Arabidopsis thaliana: one gene and its partners. The protein of the gene in region 3 purifies or fractionates together with the protein of the main gene of each other region. This does not show direct contact. Each region holds a gene or a part of one and is shown on either strand. Other genes may lie near its edges.

Region 1 (7,039 bases), on a different chromosome or scaffold from region 3:
CATTAATTTTTTCAAATTTTTTCCCAAACCGTCATAGAATGTGTACTAGGATGCCATCTAATAAAACAAGACGACATCGTATATGTTTAATTTTCTTTACTCTCAAGACGAGGTTGAAGAAACAAATTTCCCCAAAGAAAATAAAATAAAGAAAAAGGTAACGATTTCAATGGATAGAAGGGAGTAGTTTCTACAATCTTCCCACAATTAAGAGGCAATCAAGATCAAATCCGTGAGTTAGGGTTGTTTGTTATATAATCATAGCTATCATCGAGTGAGACTTTCGATTCACATGAAAAGTTTTATTGATTTTTTATTTACAACAGAAACTCCATATATTATGTAGTAAGAAAGGACTTCCTCCTCGCTTATTCGTTGATTTTCAGTTTTCTTGCTTTCCTTTGTTGCTTTTTCTTTTGATCTCGTTTCGATTAAGGGAGAATCTAGATCGAATTACAACACATCTCTAACCAAGAGCATAATAGCTTAAGGTTCTATGATGAAATGAATCTCAAAAATTTATTGTTTTCATGTTTTTAAAACTTTTTTTGACATGGGACCATGTTAGCTTCATGAAAATGTCTTTTAGGTTAAGATATTTACATTCTTACATGTTCGTATTCGGACGCCTTTTACATTGCAAAAGTGTTACTTATTTCGAACTTATTGAATATATGGAACTTGAACACTTGTAGGTGTATGCTTATTCAAGATTTACATGAATGGATGGTACGAATGTAACGTGCACAGTAAATGTTAGATCTAATGTTTTAGTGAGTATTTTCCAACGAAATGTGTGGAATTCATGTTTATTACAAACAATTTCTTTTAAAACATTTCCTTCATTATTGATTATTCATTAAGAAAATTAATTAAGAGAACAAACCTGTTCGTTTGCCCTAGACAAGGCAATACATCTTATGTTCCTTTGTGTTATTATTCCTTGTCTATGTTCTTACTTATGTTCACTCTTTTCTTGGTTACTCGGACAGATTCCAAGTTTCTTATTCGACAAGATAAATGAATCTTGGTTAACATCAACGAAAAGAAACGTGGAGATTGTGAAGAATTTAATGGACAAGATCAGTCAGTTGCCTGATGAATTGCTCGTGAAGGTACTATCATTTCTTTCAACAAAAGATGCTGTAAGCACGAGTATCTTATCGATGCGATGGAAGTCTCTTTGGATGTGGCTGCCTAAACTGGAGTACAATTTTAGGCATTATTCAGTGTCTGAAGGCCAGGGGTTGGCTAGATTTATTACTTCGAGTCTGCGAGTACATAAAGCTCCGGCTATTGAAAGCTTGAGTCTCAAGTTTAGGTATGGAGCAATTGGATCAATTAAACCTAAAGATATTTATCTCTGGGTTTCACTTGCAGTTCATGTTAGCAACGTCCGTGAGTTAAGTCTAAAGCTTTTTAATTTTGCGGAGCTTCCAACTAAATTGCCCAAAAGCTTATGTAAATGCAAATCGATTGTGATCTTGAAACTGAAAGACGAGATTCTCGTTGATGTTCCTCGTAAGGTATGTCTCCCCTCCCTGAAAACATTGTTCCTTGGACGTGTGACTTACTCGGATGCAAATTCTCTTCACCGACTTCTTTCCAACTGCCCTGTTCTTGAGGATCTAGTTATGGAACGAGATAAAATTGACAATTTGGGGAAATTGAGTGTGATTGTCAAGTCCTTGCAGAGACTAACCCTAAAGATGTCTCGTCCTTGTCATCTTGATGGGCTTAAGATGAATTCTCCTTCTTTGAAGTATTTGAAAGTCATTGATGAAAGGCTAGAGAGTGATAGTGATGATGAGAGTGACAGTGATAGTCCTCGATACTTCTACGATTTTGAAGATATGCCTAAGTTGGAGGAGGCAGATTTTGTATTGACATTCCAAAATATCAAAAAGTTCTTTGGATCAATCACATCTGTTAAGCGTCTTTCGTTATGCTTGGGAGTCTACACCGAAGAGGTAATCTGTTTCCATCACTCTATCCATCTCATTGTTGAACAATAAACCAGGTTTTCTTGAAGTTGAATCTTTTGTCATCTTATGCAGTCTTTATATCATGAGGGTCTTGTCTTCAACCAGCTTGAACAATTGAAGATATGTTCATGTGATTCAGATTGGTCAATTTTACTTGCCCGATTACTCAAAAGCTCTCCCAATTTACGAGAGCTCGAGGCTTACGTGATAGAAGTAAGTTTGTTCCTTAGAGACCTATACTCTTGGTTCAATTAACTATAATGTTTAAGCCAAACTTCTCATGTTTGATCACAGGATCATCCAAATGGGCGTACGGATCTACCAAATCAGTGGGACAATCAGCTGAATTGTGTTCCTACATGTTTGTTGTCCAGTCTCGAAACGTTCCGTTGGAGTGAGATGCATGGATTGCTGCAGAACCAGATGGATGTAGCTAAATATATCTTGAAAAATGCTCGCTGCTTAAAGTCTGCGACAATCTTTTTTCCGACAACATATGCTCAAGAAACAAGAGATGAGATGATCGAGGAGTTGTCACTTTCTTTTCAAGGTCCAGAAACATGCCAAGTCTTCTTCCATTGAGGATGTGAATCATAAGGATTCAAACTTTCATTTCCATAGACACTACCCTCCTTTATTACAATGGTTTTTTATTTGCAGCCGTAACTTGATCTAAACTTAAGGTTTATGTCTTTGTTTTTGGTTTTCTTTTTGTATACTTTATCTTTGAGCATACTGTTTTTGTTGAGACATTGGCTTTATCTTTCTGAGATCTTACATCTAGACTCTCTCTTAGGTATGAAACTAGCTTCACCAAATCACCTAAGTTTTTCATACGAACATTAGCTCAAACTAAATCGAAATCTTGAGCGCAAGTAAAAATGTGATTTCATCTCTCTGTTTCCATAGTGTATATACTATTATGTTCTTCTTATAAAACTCTGCAAACCAATCTTTGTAAATGGAGAAATAAAACATTTGCAAAAAGAGGGACAAGTCTTAGACAACAACAACAACAACAGAAGAAGAAACAGAGATAGAGAACAGATTAGATAGCTTGCAACACAAGTCAAACATATACATATACATATACGAGAGATTGACATTGAAACGAATCATCCAAAGAAGCTTGGGTCGTATCCATTGCTGGAAGTAGCCAAGATGTAGTAAGCAACGATGTGTCCAATAGAACCCCAAGCAAGAACATCAACAATGTTGAATCCAATTGGATCGTTCGATTTCAAGAGACTGACGTACTCCTTAGCACGATCATCTCCAGCTTCGAAATGGGTTTTTCCGTTCTGCTCCGGTAAGCCCTGTTTTGCTACGTTCTCTCTCTGGAAGTTGAAGAAGACGAAACGGCCGAGGAAGAGGGAGAGACCTGTGCTGAGACTTATGACGATGGAAGGGCTTAGCTCAGCTCTCACGACAGCGGAGGAGGATTTTCTCCCGGTGGTTGATAGTTTGGGTAGGGCGGAGGAGGAGCCACCTAGACGGAGGGGACGAAGGCCATGGAATGAGATGGAGTTAGGGTTTTTGTGGGAGATTGCAGTGGAGAATGTGGTTGGTGAGAGCAAAGCTGATGCGCTTGTGGCCATTTTGCTTCTTCTTCTTCTTCTCTAAGAAAAATTTCAGTAATAGAAAAATGAGTGGTTTTGGATTTATGATCTGAAGGTTTGGTTTTGGATTCTGGCAAGCAGGAGAAGAAGCAGAAGAAGATTTTGTTTGTGAGGATACGATTACGGATGGATGATGTGGCATTCTCTCGTTGGTTCTTTCTGGATTATGAGATTTTCAAAGAAATATTTGCGTTCAAACCCTTGTAATTTAGTAGGATACACTTTGAAGAACCTACTATCTTTTTTTTAAAAGATTTAGTCCATAATCTACACTTTAATAGTCTTTTTTCTCATAAAGTGTTTGTATTTTATTTATAACTTGTGTTGTAAAAACTCAATATTACAGGTCTTGATACATATGAAACTAAAACCAACAAACTTATAACCATAGGCCCAACGAGAAAAGCCCAATCGAGAAACATAATCCTTTAAGGAAGTAAGCTAAATAATTCCCGACTGCAAAGCCACGTGGAATGCTAACAAATAAAGTTGAAGACGTGGATAGATGATTCTTCGTCACCGTTCATCGCCGATCTGTTCAGCAACAACCGGAAAACTCCAAAGCCACCGGAAACAGCTAGAACTTTAAACACAGAAGTCCATCGGTTTTTAATTAGAGAATCCCAACAAACATCATCATCAAATTTGCAAAGAAAGGATCTTCCAAAAGACAATTGATTCCCGAATTCCAAAAACACAGCGGCACAGATTTTACAAAAATTGATCAAAGCCAATAAGAGTCCATAATTCATTGAAAAGCTATGAATCAATTCCTGTAATTGCAAACTCAAAAGTAAAAGCATCGAATAATACACTTCATTAAGCGATAATTCGCTTCAATCGATATTATCAACACATCCCTAATAAAATTTATTGTAAGTAAATAAACAACTGGAAGAAAAACATAACAACGGCGGAGACAAACCCGAAATCCGGTCAAGACGATACTATGTAAGCTACTGCTTCCGGAGTGGTGCCGACCAAGACGACGCTAAGGAAGCCATCGCTGTCAGAAGAAAGCTAGCCAACTCCGCTAAAGTAGTCAGAGATGCCAGACACGAGCCCACTATGTGAGGAACATGAGCCTTCGAATCAAACCAGAAGGCAAAGGTTTGATCGGAAAGTTTAGCTTTCTCTAAAAGATATTAAAGAGAGAAGAGAGAGAGAAACTTACCATTGATACACTTTAATAGTCTAGGAAACAGAAATATTATGAAACATCATGATATATAATTTGATCCAACAATCGGCAGAAACATCTCAAATTGAGTTCCTCTACAAGTGACCATAGCCAAATAACGAGCCACAGACTCGAGTAAAGTTGTCTCTTTGCCAAGAGTTGAGACTTGATGCAAACTCACCCGAACCTCATATACTTATGTACAATACACGAACTCCAACACTCATACAAGAAATGAACATTAACTAACTAAATCCGCTCTCTGTGACAACATTCCTACTAGTACTTGCACAACACATCATTTACACCATTAGAGATCGACTTGAGTTTATGTTTTCTCTTTTCTCGGGTTTCTTAGTTTAACAGAGCGACAGGAGAGTGCAGCAGCACATATGTATCGGCTCTTTTATTCCTCTGGTATGTCGGGTGATCATAGAAATGAATCAAGGTAGGAGTAGTTGTGGCGCCGGCTATACTCAATTAGACTTCCGTAAGTGCGGTCCCAAACGCCTATGAAGAGTGCTTCTGTGTCGGGGCTAAATGATATTCCCGAGATCTCCCCAAAGAAGTCGATCTCTTGCTCCGTTTCATACCCGTTTGAGACATCATACACATGGACAAAGTCAGCCGGCTCAGCCATGGCCATGTACTTCCCATCAGATGTGTAGCGAATGGATCGGATTGCTCCAAGGTTACCCCTCAAGACAGCAACAGATTTTGACAGGTTACGAATGTCCCAAACCCGGCAGGTCTTGTCCTGGTTACCTGTGGAGAACGTGAATCCATCTGGGTGCCATGCTGATGCAAAGGAAAAGTCCAGATGTCCTGATAGCGTTGCCAGTGTCTGTAGAAAATTCCAAATTTAGTTAGAAAGCATATTTATTCAGGGATACGTAACACAGAGATCGTTTCTGTACCTTTCCAGTGTTGGGGTCTACCAGAAGGCTTTCAGGGTTGTCTCCCACAATCGTCAACAATTTACCATCAGGACTTAAAGATGTGTGCTATCAATACAAAAACCCCCTTTCGTTAAATAATTTGGGGTGCAATTACATTTACAATTTCGTAATGTAAAAGAAGATATCAGATTACAAAACGTATTTGTAACTGAAACTTACTGCTACAAGCACTACAGATCAACTTATACCAAAACAAAAACAAAAAAAAAATCAAGGAAAAAGTAGGGACTTACATTCACCGGCCATGGAAAGCGAAACTGGTTAACAAGCTGGTATCTCTCCATATCAAAATCTCTGACTCCACAATCATTATTCGACGCAGTAAAATGAAGTGCCCCACTGCAGACAGACAGACATCAAAAAATCAGTTAGAAGAGACAAGTTGGCAAATACAACCTCAAGCAAAAGACATGCAAATACCTGGGTTTGTTATAAATCTCAATAGCATTGGTTATAGCATTATCATCATAAGTAGTACGTGAACAAAAGCTCACACCAGGTCTATCAAGATGCTGAAAATAAAATCAATGTGGAAAAAGATGAAGTTCCTTGATTAGAATGCATGTAATTGTTGTGTGAAAAACTAAAAATCCATGATTGTAAAACTCTAGAGCTTACCTTGCATATAAGTTCTCCTTGAAATCCACCGGCAACTAAAAATTTATCTCTCACTGCGAGTGTACTCACTTGAGTCTTTGTAAATCCCTCCAACAAACTTCCAGGATGTTTCTGCACCCACACAAGAAAAAGACAACAACCATTAAACTGATGTAGGTATTTATAGAGGAATCTTATATCATTCAGGAAGAAACTAACCTCAGATGGGGAAACATGACCTTGAACATTGAGAACATCATGCTTTCCGGATGTCAAAGTAGAATAGTGGCTCACCAAATATTGTGACATAAGGTAGACATCGTGCTTAGAAGTTGCCCAAACCAAATTCCTCAACTACAATAAAAAGAAAACAACTTTAGTTAGATGTCCGCATAAAAATAGTCTATGAATCCATATCTTTTAAGCTTTAACTTAGGTAGACAGTTGTAGCAATTTGTGCACCCTCATTACCCAAACACATGACATACTGATGGAATTACCAAAAAAACATTGACTCAATAGAAAATAGATATGTTTAAATAATATGAACCTGGAAATGAAGAATACTTGATTTGATAGATCTTGTATTCCGCCAGAAATCATAAAAAAGAGCCCCTTTCTGTGTGGCCATGCAATCCTGAATTCATTAAGCAAATGATAAGTATCAGTTGAAACCCAATATTAGTGAAACATATAGAA
Region 2 (9,680 bases), on a different chromosome or scaffold from region 3:
GTGCAAACTAAAAAGGAGAGATTCTTACATGAAAAGCGCCTTCCAATATTGGCTCATTCATTACTTGAGTAGCCCAAATCCCTTTCTCAACTGAAACTTGAATATTATCATAATTCAGACTTTTGATGATGAAATATCTCGTTCGATACCCTGGTTTACTATTCTTATTCGCCTTTGCACTTTCAAGTTGATCAGGAAAGTTACGTCGATCAACATCCACCTTTGACAGTTTATGGTCTTCCTTGCTTCTGTAACTTGTACTCTCTGACAAAATTACAACAAGAGACAGACAAAATAAAACGCAAATCTCCATGTAAAAAAAAAAAGTGAATAACAAAACATGCTTCAAAGTTTACCTGGATCATCAGAGTTTCCTAAATCTTGTTTCCAATCAGTCAAAGACGAATCGACAACAGAAGCATTTTCCTTAGCAGTATCAGAAGACATGCCTCTTTAAAACCTATATTAACACACAAGAACAACAACACTCAATTAAAACGATAAAACTTGACAGCAAAAGGAGAAAAATGAATATCAATCAAAAGCAATAAAATATCAATCACCACCACAAACAGAAGTCACACTAAGCCATTTAAAAAACAAGAATAAAACATGTATTGACTCAAATCAGAGTGCAACTATAAACATAACCAGAAAAAATCTCACTTTACATGTTCAAATTATCTACACTCCAATGATAAACTAGTGTAGTTAGTAAGCATTTTACCAAATCAATTAGCATACTAACAAGAAGTAGTTAGTGATCATTACTCATTAGTCTACTACAATGATAAACTAGTATCCATGAAACTAACTTCGAAAGTTCAACACTAACCAGAGAGATACTATTTATAATCGAAATGACATAAAGTAATTTTCTTCACCTAATCAAAACAATTCAGTAGAAAACCTAACTCTTTCTCTATTTCTTCTTCCCCATAACCAAACAGAATGTCATAAAGCATAACAATTCAAAAGAACTAGTATCAAATTAAATTCTGAAACCCATTTCTTCCTCTATTGACTGTGCCCCATAACCAAACAGAACCCATTGAACAGCCAACAAATTACAGTGTGAGAATATGAACAACATAGAACAGTACAGTTACCAGTAGAAGAAAAAAACGAACCTTGGATTATCAAAAGCTTTTGGGATAACGAATGAGAAAGAACACAAGTGAAGAAGAAAATTCTATTTAAAAATCCAAGAAAGCCCTAATCTTTCTCTGTTCGCTTCTTCTCTGTGTTTTGTATTCTTATTTTGTTTCTTCTTCTTCTTCTTCGTCTCTCTCTCTCTCTGGACTTGGGCTCTGACAATGGTAGGGTTACGTGTAGGTGAGGAAAGATGAAAATTGAACGGACAAGATGCGATTAGTGATATAATCTAACGGTACAGGATTTGGCTGTTAAAGGGTTAAGTGAACCGCTGGTGGTGTATTGTTAAGTAAAGATAAATGGGCTACCTTCAAATTTCTTTTGACGTCGAGGCCTACTTCATTATTAGGCCCACTCACATACGATCAATTACCAAATACCTAATATGACTTTATTTAAAAACTAGTTGAGAAGTTAAATTTGTACTAAACAAAATATATACTTTGGGTGCCTAAAAACTTAAAATCTTTGAAAATTTAAGCTATCCAATCAAAATAGTACATATTGAAGGGGTTGTATAATACTCAGTCCACAATTCATTTGGTTTTATTATATTATAGAAACAAAAATAATAATTAACCAAGATAGGAGAAAAAAAACTTTGAAAATAAAATAGAAAAGCAAAGAGTTCAAAGTAAACTCTAACCAAATTAAAAGATAAAAAAAGATATAAAAGCATTTTATATTTGGTTAGTTCACCAAATAAAATCTCAAATTCATCGAGTACATCCAAGATTTGGGGAGATTTATGTTGATTAGTCCATTTAAAGTAAAAAAAAAATGTTAGTCTATTCTGACAAACTATTAATGTTAGTAGATGAATAATCATGCTATGCATGAGTTGTTGTTTTGAAAATTGTTAAAAATATGTTGTATGTTCTTTGTTGCTAGTTTGTGTAGTTACATAAATATTTAGATTCATCTTATATAGTTACAATTTTTATGCTTTGATTCATCTTTTGACGTAAAATATCAAGTATATATTTTTCATGTGTAATATAATTATCTATATACATAAGATCTTAATCTTTTTTTTGCTATCATAAATACATAGAATAACAATATAAGATATATTGATATAATAGTTGTAATTATAATTGAGTTATACATTAGCATGATTTTGTATTTTTCAATTTTTTTGAAGAAATAAGTTAATAGTATTGATGGAAGATTTAATGATGTGGAGGACTTTTGATTTTCTTAACTTAATTTTGCTAAAATTTTTATTGAATAATATAAAAACACATGTAATTTTCTTGTATGATAATGTGACATTCATATGGAGAGAGTTAACCAACTTTCATATATATATTTTTTTCGATTCAAAGTAATTCTATGACATAAATTTTGTGAATTATTTGTGCATTATAAACTTAAAAATTTATTTGGTTATTTACATGGGACACCCGTGTATCGAAAAGTAGAGAGAAGATTGAACAAAAAAGCTAACAAACTTTATTTATCTCAACAAAATATTGTTACAAGCGTTAGTTAGAACTGTGTATCATTAAGCTTATATATATTTGAACTTAAGCTCACTTAATCAAAGTTAACCAAATATTAAACCAACATTAAACCAGCGAACCATACATCATAATACGCCTCTCTCAAGTCTTTATCTTCGAAGTGTCTGGTTTCCGAAGATAAAAACATCTTCTTGAGTAAATGATGAAATGACCCCGGATGTAGTGGCTTTGTGAAGTACAACTATCCACAATTTTCATTTATAATATCTAATGAGAGCATATCCGACAATGTTATAAACATTTTCTATCGATTTGTTAGTGGTTTACAAACCACCAATGACAATTTATTTCATGATAGATTCATTGTGTTTTAACTTATGGACAACCAGCATCACAATGATTGTTTTTGTCTATGGTTTGAGTCACAAGTCCGATTCATAATTGTTTGTAAATAAATATTTTTTTGTTGACTAATAAATATTATATTACAACTTTTTCTTGCAAATTACTAAAACTCAAGATTCTTTTTCATTTTTTCAAACATATATATATATATATATATATATATATATATATATTACAACAAAATTCTCTTATAAATTATTAAAATTCAAATTTTTTTATCGCAATTAGTTCCTTAAGAGAACTTATAAATAAATTAAGTCTTACATACAAAATATGTTTTCAAAAGAGTACAATGTGTTTGTTGGTTTTGCTTTCGTGCAATATCATGAAATATGTTTATGGTTTCTTAATTATTTATACCAATAGGTGATTCACCACATGATGATGCATATGTACAATTTATCTATTATAATGAGTTTACTATCTTGACTCCCACAAATCAAAACCCTTATTTTTCTTTACCGTTGTCCGTTGAGATGATAAAATAATAAACTAAAAATGATTGTACATATTTTTGTTATGATTTGAGTTAGAGTTTTTTTTTTTCGTTTATTTCAATTCTACGTAAAAAAAATTATATAAAGAATTCATTTTATTTGTGACTAATAATATCTAAATATTATAATACAATATTTGTTTTTGGTAATTTACCAAAATTCAAGATTTTATTCTTATTTTTTTCAAAATCATGACGTGGAACGCTAGACGATCCAACTTCGCTTATCTCCTCCTAATTTTCCCTCCAATTACACGTTGAAACAAAACAAAACAAAAAAATCAGAAGGAACCTGAAACTATCTCACACAGTAAAAAACATCACCATCTCAATTCTCAACCACACAAATCCAAAGCTTCTAACTTTTTTTTTTGTTCTTCGTCCCGGACAAGAGAAAACAACGATCTCACTCAATCATCGGCGTGAGGGATAAAGACGATGGCTTTTACTCTAACAATCCCTAGATTTTCTGCAATTTCTCGCAAACCCATCACTTGTTCTTCTTCGAGGACACAGTGTCCTGCTCCCTTTACCCATGGACGATCGATTTCTCTCAGACGAAGACTTACCTTATTGCCCCTTAAAGCTTCTACTGATCAATCAGGTCTCGATTTTTATTTGCCTCTTTAAAGTTTCGATTTTTTTATTTGTTTTTGCCTCTGATCTTTCTTTGGGAACGAAATTGGTGTGAAAAGTTGAGATTTTTATGATCATAGAAGATAATTAGATAAATGATTTCCAATTTGTAGCCTTTTTAGGATTAAAATTTGTGTGTAGCTTAAGGTTCTTAAGTTATTAACTCATCGTTATGTGATCGAAACAAAAAAGCACTCAATCTTCAAATTTAGTTGAGAAAAGCTGTTGTATTGTAGCTTTGATTTTGTCTCTGATCATTGTTTGGGAACACAGTGGCTTTTGAGAAAGTTTTGATTTTATTCAATCATAGAATAAAATCACTCAAGCTTTAATTCTAGTTAAGAAAAGTTGTTATATGGAACTTTTTTCCTCTGTGGATTTTTAGTTTTTATACTCTAATCCACTAAAAGATTGCTCCTTGAGAGTTTCCTTACTTCTTAAAATCATTTTTATGACTTGTCTTCAGGTCAGGTGGGTGGGGAAGAAGTTGATAGCAAGATTTTACCTTATTGTAGCATCAACAAGAATGAGAAGAGAACTATCGGTGAAATGGAACAAGAGTTCCTCCAAGCGATGCAAGTAACACATCAAATAAAGTGTTTTTATCATTAGTATGGGTTTATCTCTATATAATCGAGGATTGTTTCTGTTTCTTTTCTTTTGCAGTCGTTTTATTACGAAGGCAAAGCGATTATGTCTAATGAAGAGTTTGATAACCTTAAAGAAGAGTTGATGTGGGAAGGAAGCAGTGTTGTCATGCTAAGTAATGAACACTTATGATTTATAGTTTTGTCAATAATCCATTCGCCTAGGTTCTTGATTCTTGATCTAATTTTATCTATGTATTGTAGGTTCTGATGAACAAAGATTCCTTGAAGCTTCAATGGCTTATGTCTCTGGAAATCCAATCTTGAGTGATGAAGAGTATGATAAGCTCAAAATGAAACTAAAGGTTCTTAATCTATTTATACTTACAAATACTATTTCTTAGTTTCATCCATCTTGTTACATGTGTAATTTGGACAAACGTTATGATTGTTTCTTTGGTTTCTGTAGATGGACGGCAGTGAGATTGTGTGTGAGGGTCCAAGATGCAGTCTTCGTAGTAAAAAGGTAAAAACTCTTAATTGTTCGGATAGCTCATATATTCTTTGGACATTACAGAACATAACATTAGATTCATTGTTTGGGACAAACTCTAGAGATGTTATAGACTTGTGGACCTCCTTGATTATGCAGGTTTATAGTGATCTTGCCATTGATTACTTCAAAATGTTCTTGTTGAATGTACCAGCAACTGTTGTTGCTCTCGGACTGTGAGTACCTCCGGTTCTGTTCCTCTCTCAACTTTCAAATCACATGATCTTAGCTTATGTTAGTTAGTTTAAAATTGTTGTTTTCTTCAATTGTTCTCCAGATTTTTCTTTCTTGATGACATTACTGGTTTTGAAATCACGTACCTGCTCGAGGTAAAACCTCTTTCGACTATTCTACTATGGTTTGGAGAATATATACTCGTAGTAATTGTTCCAGTATTCATGCAACTGATTAAAAAACAAAAACAAAAATCTGCAGCTTCCGGAACCATTCAGTTTCATTTTCACATGGTTCGCTGCGGTGCCTGCAATTGTATATCTGGCGTTATCACTCACCAAACTGATCCTCAAAGACTTCTTGATCTTGAAGGTAAAAACATTAATCATCTTCCAAGATCAGTTCATGAAGTGGAAAAATAAAAGTTATAGAACTAAATCTTGTTTTCTCAGTATCAAAAATGCTTAAACAAGAGATTAGACTTGAGATAATAATCTATTTTGTGCTAAACGCTACAAATTTGGATTGGTATAGTGCCAAATCCTACGAGTTTTATGCGATTATTATGAAATGCTTTTAATTTTCGTGGAACATATCTTTCACAGGGCCCTTGCCCAAACTGTGGAACAGAGAATGTATCTTTCTTTGGAACGATACTATCCATCCCCAATGATAGTAACACCAACAATGTCAAATGCTCAGGGTAAGCTTCTCAGCTGTAGACTCGAATCGATCACACAAATTGTCTACAACGTTTCTTGAAGTCTTATGATTCTTCTGGTTTTTAGCTGTGGAACGGAGATGGTCTATGACTCAGGTTCTCGTTTGATCACATTACCAGAAGGAGGGAAAGCTTAAATCTAAGAGCCAAGGTTTAATTCTTATCTCAACTTTGATTTCTGATGAAATCTTTCTTGATTCAATGGAAAATTCAAAATTTTAGGGTTTTCTTTTTCTCAGGGTTATGTAGAAGTGTATGTAAAATTAATACTAACAAATGAAGAAGGTGGAGAAATTGAAGAAGAAGGAGAAAAACCAAAGTTTGTATGCTGTTTTGTATAATCTTCAGATCTTTTCATGTAGCTCTCATTGGCTTGTGTTGTGTTTGTAAGTAAGTGTGAGGCACATTCAAAGAAAAACATCATATGATTACTTCTTTGAGAAACTTTGCTCTCATTAGGAAAGTAAAATAATTCAAGAAATAAGCACAACCTTGTGTAGTTTTGAAATAATACTTGTATTTTTTTTGTTGTTATAATTTTGAATGTGTTCCATAATATAGTTTCGTTAATCCATGTGAAAATCAAATATGATGTTCTAAATCATTTATAGGTGCTAGTCAAGGCCAGTCCAAGACTTTTTGACTTTTGTGATTCTATAGTTCATTTTAGTATGATTTCTATTAAGAAGCTGATAGATAGATAAAAGTGGGGAACATGTAATAAGAGTTAAGGATTATTACAAAGGAAAAAGTCATACAAATATTATAGCATGCCAAATTCTATCTTTTTAATAAGAAAAAGGTGCAATGATGATGATGACATCGTCGTCGTCCCATGCCCTCTATATCATCATTTACCTTCCTTTTTTTTCTCACCGTTTAGACATTTCTAAATGTATCATTTTAGGATCGAAAGAATATAAGCAATTTACAAGACTACAAAGTGTGTATAAAGTAAAATGTCACGAGGCTAGAAGAAAGTAGGATAGTATTCTAAGCATTATAAAACATCGGTCATGCTTATTCATTATTATGTCTTAAGGATTAATAAAAGATACATAGTATATACTATATACTGATCATGTCTGTCCCCAAAACACATGCCAACAAAGTAAAACACAATCAATATACTTCTCTCTCTCTTTCTTCTTGATCACTTCTCTCTGCAAAACCTAACTACTTCTTCATTCATCTTAGAATCATTGGGTCCTCTTCACATGGGCTCTATACCATTTATCTTCATCATCCTTCTTTTTCATGTACATAAATCCAAATCTCAGACCATTGAATCAGCACATTTTCTTGATCTTATGATCAGAGATTACACCATTAGAAACTTCAACATACATTTCAAGACAGGTGCTATCCAGAAAGTCCATCTTCCTTCGAATTTCTCCTCCATTGATATCGCCACAGCTAAGTTTAGATGTGGGAGTTTGAGAAGACACGGTGCAAGAATTGGAGAGTTTCACTTAGGTCCGGGCTTGACCGTGGAGCCATGTGTTGAGAGAGTGATCCTGGTGAGACAGAACTTGGGGTTTAACTGGTCTTCTTATATTTACTCAACCGGTTATAACTTAACCGGTTACAAATACCGGCTTGTGTCTCCTGTTCTTGGTTTATTGGCTTACAATTCAAATCCGGACGGTGTTGCTGTGAATCCTTATGAGGTTAACGTAATGGGCACGGAACAAAACCCTATTTTGATCAAATTCTTAAGCAGTGAGGCAAGTGGTAGCCCTAAACCTAACACGAAGAAGAACTCATCTGTCTTGTGTGCTTGCTTCACAAGTAACGGTAACATAACGTTTAGAGAGCAAGTTTCAGCTTATGTTTGCTTGGGAACAAGACAAGGGCATTACGCGCTTGTGATTAGAGCTCATGATAGTGGCGGTGGCGGTAGTACGGTGGTAACACCGTCGTCATCTCCGGCTTTGACTGACGGTGGCGGAGGGAAATTGAGCCGGTGGAAAGTGGCGGTTGGGAGTGTGATAGGTTCAATAATTGGAGCGTTTCTGTTAGGGTTATTGGTGGTGGCGATGGTAGTGAAAGGGAAGAAGAAAGCGATGAGAGAGGAGATGGAGAGGAGAGCTTATGAAGAAGAAGCACTTCAGGTTTCAATGGTGGGTCATGTTAGAGCTAATCCTAATGCTTCGAGATCAAGAACGATTCCAAGATTTGAAAATACTAGGTATAAGTAACAAGTAACAACATACTTAAATTAGGTATCTTCCTTCTTGATAAGATGTTTTCAATTTTTAGTGTTAATTCAACTCTGTTTTTTTTTCTTTTTTTTTTTTTTTTTTTTTTTTGTGTTGGATTGTAACTTCTAAGATCTTCATTATTTAGGTGACATAATATGTGGAGTTAACTGTTTTCCAAATGAGTTATTGAAAATATTGTAAGCCGCTTTAATTTAAAATTTTAATTAATTTTATTATATAATACAGATTTATGATTAGTTAAAAAAACTTCATCGTCTTCGACTACTCACCGTCTGACCAAAAAAATATCTAGATGTTTTATTCAATTCATTGTTTTTGTTCACCATCCTTTTATTGCAATTGGTACTACAAGATCCTAATTTATCCATTTGGTAGAGGTGAATTGTTTTTGGATCAGTCTCACCCAATAGATTCCTCTAATAGAGTGAATGCTTTATTTTTTGGCTAAGCTTTGATATTCTTTTGTTTTTATTCTTCTATTTTAAGATTTTCTTGTACCTCAGATTCTACATTTGTTTGTTTCTATTTTTATACTTTAATTTCTCTTGTGCTCCAGTCTCTAATTTTAAAGGTTAATCTAGAACTTTCATAGTCAGACGGTGAGTAGATGAAAAAAAAGTTTTTTTTTTGTTTTAGATTTTTATTAATTATAATAAATAAATTATTAATTAAAAATTAAATTAAATTAAAAAATTATACTAAACAAACATAAATTAATTGTTCCGTTACTGTTCGGTCATCTTTTATGACGATGTAAATAGGAAAACTATTTTGGATGTCTAAAATATTAATAAAATTATTTTGGTAGTTTATAGTATTAGTAAAATTCTTTTGAAATTGAAGGTTAAAAATGTGATTTTTTTTTATTATGTGAAAGAAAAATTTGACCTATTTTAATCTCAATTATTCACCTGCCAATGAGGAATAATAAAGCATAACACCATGATTTAACAAATTTTCCTTTCGTGAGAATACATTTTCCCATAAACTTCTAAAATCAATCACAACATTATTGTAGTTCGTTGTCATGTCGTCCGGAGAAGGAGCTTCGCATAACCTTACAACACCCAATGATGAAGTGATCAAAACATGCCATATACTTCTAAGATTTGGTGATTTTATTGGTATCCATTATACCGTGAACATGAACCAGTTAGTATAAGCAAAAAACGCTTAGATGAGTTTGAGAAAGCTGGAGCTATTGCCGATGTTCACAATACCGCATAGAACCTGTTTCCGAATGGGTTAATGGATTGTTACGG
Region 3 (8,077 bases):
TGTTGAGTCAACTTTGGTTCGGATTTTATACTGGAATTTGTTTGTAGTGATTTTTTTGTTAATTACTCAGAGCAGAGATTCTCCTATGGTTTTCTCTGAGTATAGATATTAATTTGTTTGCTCTCTGGATTGAACCTTTGTACGGTTTGAATAGTATTATTGCCTTCTATACTCATACCATTACTTTGTTCAGTAGCTTTTACTTTTGCTTAGAATTGTGCTGGATGTGATTCTATTTGACTACTGTTTTGTCGCTGATACTGGTGTATGTCTTTATTGTGCAGAGAGAAGAATGGCTATGGAGATCACACAGTTCCTTCTGGCTGCCCAGTCAGCCGATGCAAGAGTCCGTACTGAAGCAGAGGCTAGTCTCAGACAGTTCCAAGAACAAAACTTGCCGCTGTTCTTGTTATCCTTGTCTTTTGAGCTTGAAAACAATGATAAACCTGCTGAATCCCGTCGACTAGCCGGTATTCTGCTAAAGAATTCTCTGGACGCCAAAGATTCTGCCACAAAAGATCATCTGGTGAAACAATGGTTTGCAATTGATGTTGCTCTTAAATCCCAGATCAAGGATCGCTTACTAAGAACTCTTGGTTCATCTGCCCTAGAGGCAAGGCATACTTCAGCTCAGGTTATTGCTAAGGTAGCCTCCATTGAAATTCCTCAGAAGCAGTGGCCTGAACTTGTTGGATCGCTGCTTAACAATATGACTCAGCAAGGCAGTCCCGCACACTTGAAGCAATCAACCTTGGAAACTCTAGGCTATGTCTGTGAAGAGATATCACACCATGATCTTGTGCAAGATGAAGTGAATTCTGTCCTCACAGCAGTTGTGCAGGGCATGAACCAGTCTGAAAATACTGCTGAAGTTCGTCTCGCAGCAACAAAGGCACTGTTAAATGCCTTGGATTTCTCTCAGACAAATTTTGAGAATGAAATGGAGAGGAATTACATCATGAAGATGGTATGCGAGACAGCATGTTCCAAGGAGGCAGAGATCAGGCAAGCTGCTTTCGAGTGCCTTGTGTCCATTGCATCCACATACTATGAGGTGCTGGAGCACTACATACAAACACTCTTTGAGCTCACATCGAATGCTGTAAAGGGAGATGAAGAGAGCGTTGCCCTCCAAGCAATTGAGTTCTGGAGTTCCATCTGTGATGAAGAGATCGACCGTCAAGAGTATGACAGTCCTGATAGTGGTGACTCATCCCCTCCCCACTCCTGTTTCATAGAGAAGGCTCTTCCCCATTTAGTTCAAATGTTGCTAGAAACTCTGCTGAAGCAGGAAGAGGATCAGGACCATGACGACGATGTCTGGAACATATCTATGGCTGGCGGGACATGCCTTGGCCTGGTTGCTAGAACGGTTGGAGATGGTGTAGTCCCTCTTGTGATGCCTTTTGTTGAAAAAAACATAAGTTCGCCAGATTGGCGAAGCCGGGAGGCAGCCACTTATGCTTTTGGATCAATTTTGGAGGGCCCAACAATTGATAAGCTTGCCCCGATGGTAGCTGCTGGCTTGGAATTTCTCCTTAATGCAACCAAGGATCAGAATAACCATGTCAGGGATACAACTGCTTGGACTCTGAGCCGTATCTTTGAATTTTTGCACCCCAGACAGTGGCTTCTCTGTTATATCACCCGAAAACCTCCCTAGAATTGTGAGTGTATTACTGGAATCAATTAAAGATGTGCCAAATGTTGCAGAGAAGGTCTGTGGAGCAATATACAATCTTGCACAGGGATATGAAGACTCTGGAGCAAGTTCCTCTCTTCTCTCTCCTTATCTTACAGAGATCATCACACATCTCCTTGCAGCTGCTGAGCGTACAGATGGGGCAGAGTCTAAGCTAAGAGGTGCTGCGTATGAAACCTTGAACGAGGTTGTCCGGTGTTCAAACCTTTCAGAGGCCTCAAGCATCATAGCGCATCTCCTCCCTGCCATCATGAAAAAATTAGCTGAGACAATGGACCTCCCTATAATATCAACTGATGACCGTGAGAAGCAAGCGGAACTCCAGGCGTCTCTGTGCGGTGTTCTCCAAGTCATAATCCAGAAGCTGAGCAGCAGGGACGATATGAAACCTATCATAGTGCAAAACGCAGATGACATCATGAGGTTATTCCTAAGAGTGTTTGGTTGCCATAGTTCAAGTGTCCACGAAGAAGCCATGCTTGCAATCGGTGCTCTTGCCTATGCGACTGGAACTGAGTTTGTGAAATACATGCCCGAGCTTTTTAAATATCTCCAGATGGGGCTGCAGAATTTCGAAGAATACCAAGTCTGCTCAATCACCGTAGGAGTGATTGGTGACATATGCCGTGCGCTGGATGAAAAAATCCTACCCTTTTGCGATCAGATAATGGGTCTCCTTATCCAAAACCTTCAAAGTGGTGCACTCCACAGATCGGTGAAGCCTCCAATCTTCTCATGCTTTGGAGACATTGCTCTGGCGATTGGTGCTCATTTTGAAAGGTATGTAGCTCCAGCTGTTCAGATAATGCAAGGTGCTGCTCAGGTGTGTGCGCAGATGGACACCCTTGACGAGGAGCTTATGGATTATGCAAACCAACTCCGGAGAAGCATCTTTGAAGCATACTCCGGGATACTGCAAGGGTTCAAGGATGCAAAGGCTGAGCTCATGATGCCCTATGCTCAACATCTGTTGCAGTTTGTTGAACTAGTATCCAAAGATTCCCTGAGGTCCGTACCTTCTTTTTTCAATAATATAATCAATTTATATATCTTTTCTAGTTTCACTATTCAGTTTAAACTTATTACTCGGTTTTTGTTTTGGGAGCAGGGATGAGAGCGTGACAAAAGCCGCGGTTGCAGCAATGGGTGATCTTGCGGATGTTGTAGGGGAGAACACGAAGCAGTTGTTCCAAAACTTCACCTTCTGTGATGAGTTCCTCAATGAGTGTCTCGAATCAGAGGATGAAGATCTCAAGGTCACTGCACGCTGGACTCAAGGAATGATCGCAAGACTCGTGCTCTAATCATAAATTTAAAGGCTTTTCCATCATCACTACTCGTGCGTCTCTCTCTCTCTGTCGTCATTGTTTTGAGTAAAGGTTTCAAAGAATAGTTGCGGGTCTTCCTCTTTGCTCTGTCTAATGATGTTGGGATAGTGGTTAAGGGGGGTTTTGGGAAATTGTTTTGGGGCTATCTCTGTTTTGATGCTGCGTCTTATTTTTTACTCTGTAGAAGAAAAACAAAATCTTTTCTTTTTTTTTGGTGAATGGAATTATCCACTTATCGGTGGTCACTTTTTGAGTCAACTTTATGATTCTATGTTTCTTAACGTGAACAATTTCGACAGAATTTAGCAAACGATTAATTTGATGTAAAGGCTCATCATAACTCCGATGATCTACGTAAACACAAACTGCGAGGTATAAGAAATTCCGTTTATACAAAAGGTGCCAAATTTTCTTTAAAATAACGACGTTACATCATTACATGACACCAGTAGAAGCTAAAAGCCACCACATCATTACATGACACCAGTAGAAGCTAAAAGCCACCACATCAGGAGGAAGAGAAGGTATCGATAATGGTGGTGTGAAGTGGGTCACTAAGGTGAGTCGCCCAGTTGTTGAGCGGTCCTTTACCGGTTGCAGCCGCCTGAACCGCAAAACCCAAGAATCCAACCATGGCTAAACGAGCATGTTTGATCTCAGCTAGCTGAAGCTGAGCCTTCTTCACCGGGTCAGACGCTAGTCCTAACGGGTCAAAGAACTTGCCTCCTGGATACAAACGCTTCTCCGAGTCCAGTTCAGCGTTTCGTTGGAACTCAATGTAGCCGATCACTAACACTTCGATCCATATCAATGTCGAGATAGAGAACGGCAATGGCTGTCCTAAGTAAGATGATCCATCCACTAGCTCTACCTGGTAAATTAAAAATAAAACAATCAGACAGATGTCGAAACGCTAAACACAAACGCAAAAGTGACGAAAAGAAAAGAGGCGATACCTTGCCGGCGTCTTGCCAAGTAACACCGGTGAGCCATTCGACGGTGATAGCGCCAAGAGTGGCGAGCATTGCCCACCGACCGTGAATCAGCTCACATTCTCTGAATCTTTGTAGCCCGAAGACTTCACTATATGGCTGAAACGGCGTCGATTTGGGGTCCACCGCCTCGGTACGAGTCCCGATCACTTCTCCGTATAAGTTCTTGGCTAAGTTCTGGTCCAAGGAATCCAAATCGAATTGGAGATACTCCGCCGGTTTGCCTAAACCAAAAGGATCGAACCCGTAGTCCCCGACAAGTGAACCGTCGAGATATTCGGGTGATTTTGCGCCTGGGAACCATAGAGGCCGGTCTGAGATAACCGTCTTAGCCTTTTTGGGAGATGCTTTCTTGGTTCCGAATCCGAACCGGGCTGTGAACCGGCTTGAATTGGAGCTAATGTCGGAAACCACCCGGGTACCCATGATTGAAGAAGCAGCAGCGGCGGTTGAAGTGGCGGCCATCTCCGGCGTCGTTAGTTAGTTCTGTCGCGTTTGCGGTTTGTAACTTATCTGAAGCAAATGGCGTTTTTAAGTGGCGGTATGTGTGTGGGAGAGATCTCAGAGAACGAATCTTGACGGTTAGATGGAGAAACAAATCCATCTGACGGTAGGAAACAAAATCAGCCTTATCTATAAAAAGCTCGCGTTATCTATCCTGTCTGTCTTTTAGAGTTAGATGAGGCAAGCAAGCTGATTGGGCAAAAGAAGCTATTGACGAATCGCATAGCAACGCCACTTGTCACTTCAGCAGCACATGTCCACTTGTATAGTTGTATGCCTTGCATACTAAACAAATTCAAGAATATTGATAATCCGGTTAGGTTCGGTTACAATTGTCTCAAACCACAAAGGAAGTCTCTGTCTTGTAAAAATTCGAAGAAGGCTTCTCATTAAGAAAATATGATTACATGATCGCATCCGAGACAGTACAATAGACCAAGACAGGACAGCTAACTGTTGCGCAACCAAACAGCACACTCACAAGAAATTTAATAATACATTCAGGAAAATAAACCTCAGAAGCAGAGTCTCTAGATACTTCTGGAATCGATGATGATCCAGAAACAAGTAGAAACTTTGTCGACAGCACTCAATCAGATCCCCGTGAAAACGTTTTACATTAAGAAGAGAGCTGGAAACGGCCACTAGTTTTTTTTCTTCTCCATCCCTGCCAAAACACCAAAGACCATATGATTCTACAAATACTTAATACAGAAGAGAAAACCCGAGGAGTAACATCAACGAGGACTTACAAAGGCAATGTAATATAGGAAAGTCAGTCCAGCCAGGATAACAAACCCGATTTGGAACACATTGTACCTGAAATATAAAACCTCAATAAGACGCATCACGGATATAGCATATGACTGCTATATGTTATACCACTTCTACTTACTTGTAAAGGTACTTAATTCCTCTAAGGGACTGCAATGTGTGGCCAAATATCTCCTGGGCAGCAGTGGCTTGAGCGTAATATCCAAATGCAGTGGCACAAAATTGAATCACGCTGCATTTTAAATGAACCACATTACTCAGACTGTGAGGATTAACATGTAATTGTGAGGGTAGCAGCTGTATATTAAAAGTCTTGGTTTGACATCTAATAGAGTACAAAGGATACCCAAGTGCATGAGTAAAGTAACTATAAACTTCGATTCAGGCATTCGCCGGAAAGGAAATTAGTTTTAGTGATGGCATGAAAACACTGATAAGTTAATGTATGCACATAAACATGCTTGATCTAGATCCGTTTATCAGAGTGCACTTGATCCCAACAGATACAAAGGCAGAAGAAGAGACCAGAGAGACTTACCTGATTGAACAAAGAAGAATGAGGCCGACATTGAAGAGGAAAGAGTTCATTAGAGTAGCTCCCCATCTGAAATAAGTTGATATGGCCAATCAGCAATCAAGAGAAGGTAATGAATGACCTTGGAAAATAGCCAAATAATGTTGAAACCGGTTAGATGGATTACTTCATTGGATGAATGGTAATGAAGACCAGCTTCAAACCCAGCATCATTGCCCCAGCGATAACAGCAAGTAGAAGGTAGAAACAGAAGAAAGCAAAGGCAGCAGTGCCTAAAAGACCTGGAGATTTCCACACGTACCAGCATGGAGTCAGTTAGAAACAAAGAAGAAACCTTATACAGGATAACAAGGACAAAAGTATGAACTTACCCCAAACATCATCAAGCTTAATGAAAACCTCGTTAAGAAAAGGGGAGAGAGGAGGGTCGACGAGTAGATATATGATGATGTGTGCAACCCAAGCAATGGAAACGATCAATCTACAAAGACATTAAAAATTTGCCATTTAAAAAGACGCTTAGCTCGGGAGCTTAAGAGTGCAAACCTAAATATGCAAGAACTGTATGCATTATGCATGATTTATACAACATGTAACAAAAAAAAATGCAAAGGAGGTTTCTGCTTAGATGTACTAACCCTACGATTCCAAGAATAAACTTGGCCAAGTATCCGAGCACAGTGAAAGCCCATGCAGTTTCTGCCTGGAAAAAGGTACCAGGGAATAAAATAGTTGAACAAGAAAAATATTATAGTATAAGTTCTAAGATACACTCGTCTTACCTGCTCTCCTTGAGGATACATCTCTTCTAAGAGGTTCACATCTTCCTCCAATTGGAGCAACTCCTGCAGGGTTACCACATTCAATTATAGGATTGAGGGGACACAGCTTAAATCCACAACCAAGCAAAGAAAAGCTACCAATAAAGTCAATAACCAATTCTACTATCTCACTAGCTTTTCACTACAAGTTGTCATTCTCATAACTCCACAGACGACCAAAGCCTCTTTACACACAAGGGACCAGTATGAATAGGCAAACTTTCCAAGTTGCTACTTATGAAACAAAATTTAGATAAGATACTGAACCTTGAGATATATGAGGTACCTTTTCAACTGCTTTCACATTTTTCCGCCATTTCCTGCCCTTAGCACCACTTCTTTCTTCCTGATGAAGTCCATCAGCTGCTTTCTTTAGTTCTCTTGCCTTTTTACCTAGTTCGGTTGCCTCCTGTAATATATTTATGGAGTTAATCATGCAAGAGACAGAGGGATTGACTCAAGATCTAGAGAGATGCTTCCAGAGGAGAACAATAACCAGACCTTTATATATTGTGATCGAGTGATAACAGCCTTTGGTCGCCTGATGAATGCAGTGATAAGTCCTAATGGTAGACATGCAATACCAACACCACCAAATATCTAGAAATATTTGAGAGAACAATTAGTTATCAGATTTTTTTTACTGAAATGTATAAATCAAACATCTATTTACTTCAATGGATACAGAATTATATCTTGCCATGCATCTCATCTGTTGAGAGTTTGTGTTAGTCAATGAAGAATCAACAATATAAGACAGATTAAATCCTTTCAAAGCAAACAATGCACTTCTCAACATGAAAGAACAATGGTCATACCGTGAAAAGAACTGACCCAACAATTGTCGCAAGAGCAACAACATATTCTGGAAAAGTAGTACGCATAGTCCATGTTTTCTCAGATGTGGGATTAGCTGTAAATGCTGAGCACTGCATTGATAGCCAGAGACAGGAATATGTTAAATGCTGAAACTCTCTACGGCATAAATGACTCATGATATAAAAACTAATGCTAATGCTACATTCAAGAGGCAAACATACCTGGCGAGCAGTGTTACCTATGCATGGTTGAGTATTTGAAAACTGCCAGGAAGTAGGGAAAGTGGATGTGGCAGAAGCCAAATGCCTGACCGAGAAGTCCACCTTTCCAATGACACCTACATGATGAAGATGTTACCAATAATGTTAAGGTATTCCTAGCATATAAATGGATAAGATAGATATCTCAACCCAAGCCCTGATTGGGTAATTTAAAAGCCAAAATTAACATAAGAATGCAGTCAAATCATAGAGACCAACATCAGATTCATCCTTGCCACATGCTCACTAATGGATTCAATAACCACTCCAGCTAAACAAGTATAACCTCCAGACTATCGTCATTCGTCAATACAGAAAGACGCTGAATTTCAAGTCGACAAA

Evidence for each region. The genes of interacting proteins can lie anywhere in the genome.
Region 1: the proteins of LHCB4.2 (region 3) and PSAG fractionate together in Arabidopsis thaliana (co-fractionation; one large-scale study listed by BioGRID). This does not show direct contact.
Region 2: the proteins of LHCB4.2 (region 3) and PGRL1B fractionate together in Arabidopsis thaliana (co-fractionation; one large-scale study listed by BioGRID). This does not show direct contact.

The regions. Positions count from the first base shown.
Region 1 is NC_003070.9:20,799,774-20,806,812, forward strand, and holds PSAG (photosystem I subunit G), read right to left. Parts: upstream 3,677-7,039; 5' UTR 3,609-3,676; coding exon of another isoform or gene 3,584-3,608; coding exon 3,101-3,583; 3' UTR 2,897-3,100; downstream 1-2,896. Other genes in the region: AT1G55660 (FBD, F-box and Leucine Rich Repeat domains containing protein), read left to right, coding at 921-1,970, 2,058-2,198, 2,280-2,567; AT1G55673 (uncharacterized protein), read left to right, coding at 3,198-3,608; AT1G55675 (uncharacterized protein), read right to left, coding at 4,081-4,407; AT1G55680 (Transducin/WD40 repeat-like superfamily protein), read right to left, coding at 5,215-5,628, 5,702-5,788, 5,977-6,082, 6,164-6,255, 6,362-6,472, 6,560-6,694, 6,891-6,977. UniProt on the Arabidopsis thaliana protein: Not yet known.
Region 2 is NC_003075.7:7,171,990-7,181,669, reverse strand, and holds PGRL1B (PGR5-like B), read left to right. Parts: upstream 1-3,781; 5' UTR 3,782-3,960; coding exon 3,961-4,126; intron 4,127-4,496; coding exon of another isoform or gene 4,497-4,542; intron 4,543-4,624; coding exon 4,625-4,737; intron 4,738-4,824; coding exon 4,825-4,921; intron 4,922-5,009; coding exon 5,010-5,110; intron 5,111-5,214; coding exon 5,215-5,271; intron 5,272-5,397; coding exon 5,398-5,474; intron 5,475-5,575; coding exon 5,576-5,627; intron 5,628-5,733; coding exon 5,734-5,844; intron 5,845-6,077; coding exon 6,078-6,175; intron 6,176-6,260; coding exon 6,261-6,330; 3' UTR 6,331-6,344; intron 6,345-6,432; 3' UTR 6,433-6,784; downstream 6,785-9,680. Other genes in the region: AT4G11970 (YTH family protein), read right to left, coding at 29-264, 357-447; AT4G11950 (transmembrane protein, putative (DUF1191)), read left to right, coding at 7,411-8,394. UniProt on the Arabidopsis thaliana protein: Ferredoxin-plastoquinone reductase involved in cyclic electron flow (CEF) around photosystem I. The homodimer is probably not involved in CEF.
Region 3 is NC_003074.8:2,714,127-2,722,203, reverse strand, and holds LHCB4.2 (light harvesting complex photosystem II), read right to left. Parts: upstream 4,648-8,077; 5' UTR 4,488-4,647; coding exon 3,987-4,487; coding exon of another isoform or gene 3,902-3,986; coding exon 3,539-3,901; 3' UTR 3,281-3,538; downstream 1-3,280. Other genes in the region: AT3G08930 (LMBR1-like membrane protein), read right to left, coding at 5,146-5,193, 5,279-5,345, 5,422-5,532, 5,839-5,904, 6,002-6,116, 6,207-6,316, 6,474-6,538, 6,618-6,680 and 4 more. UniProt on the Arabidopsis thaliana protein: The light-harvesting complex (LHC) functions as a light receptor, it captures and delivers excitation energy to photosystems with which it is closely associated.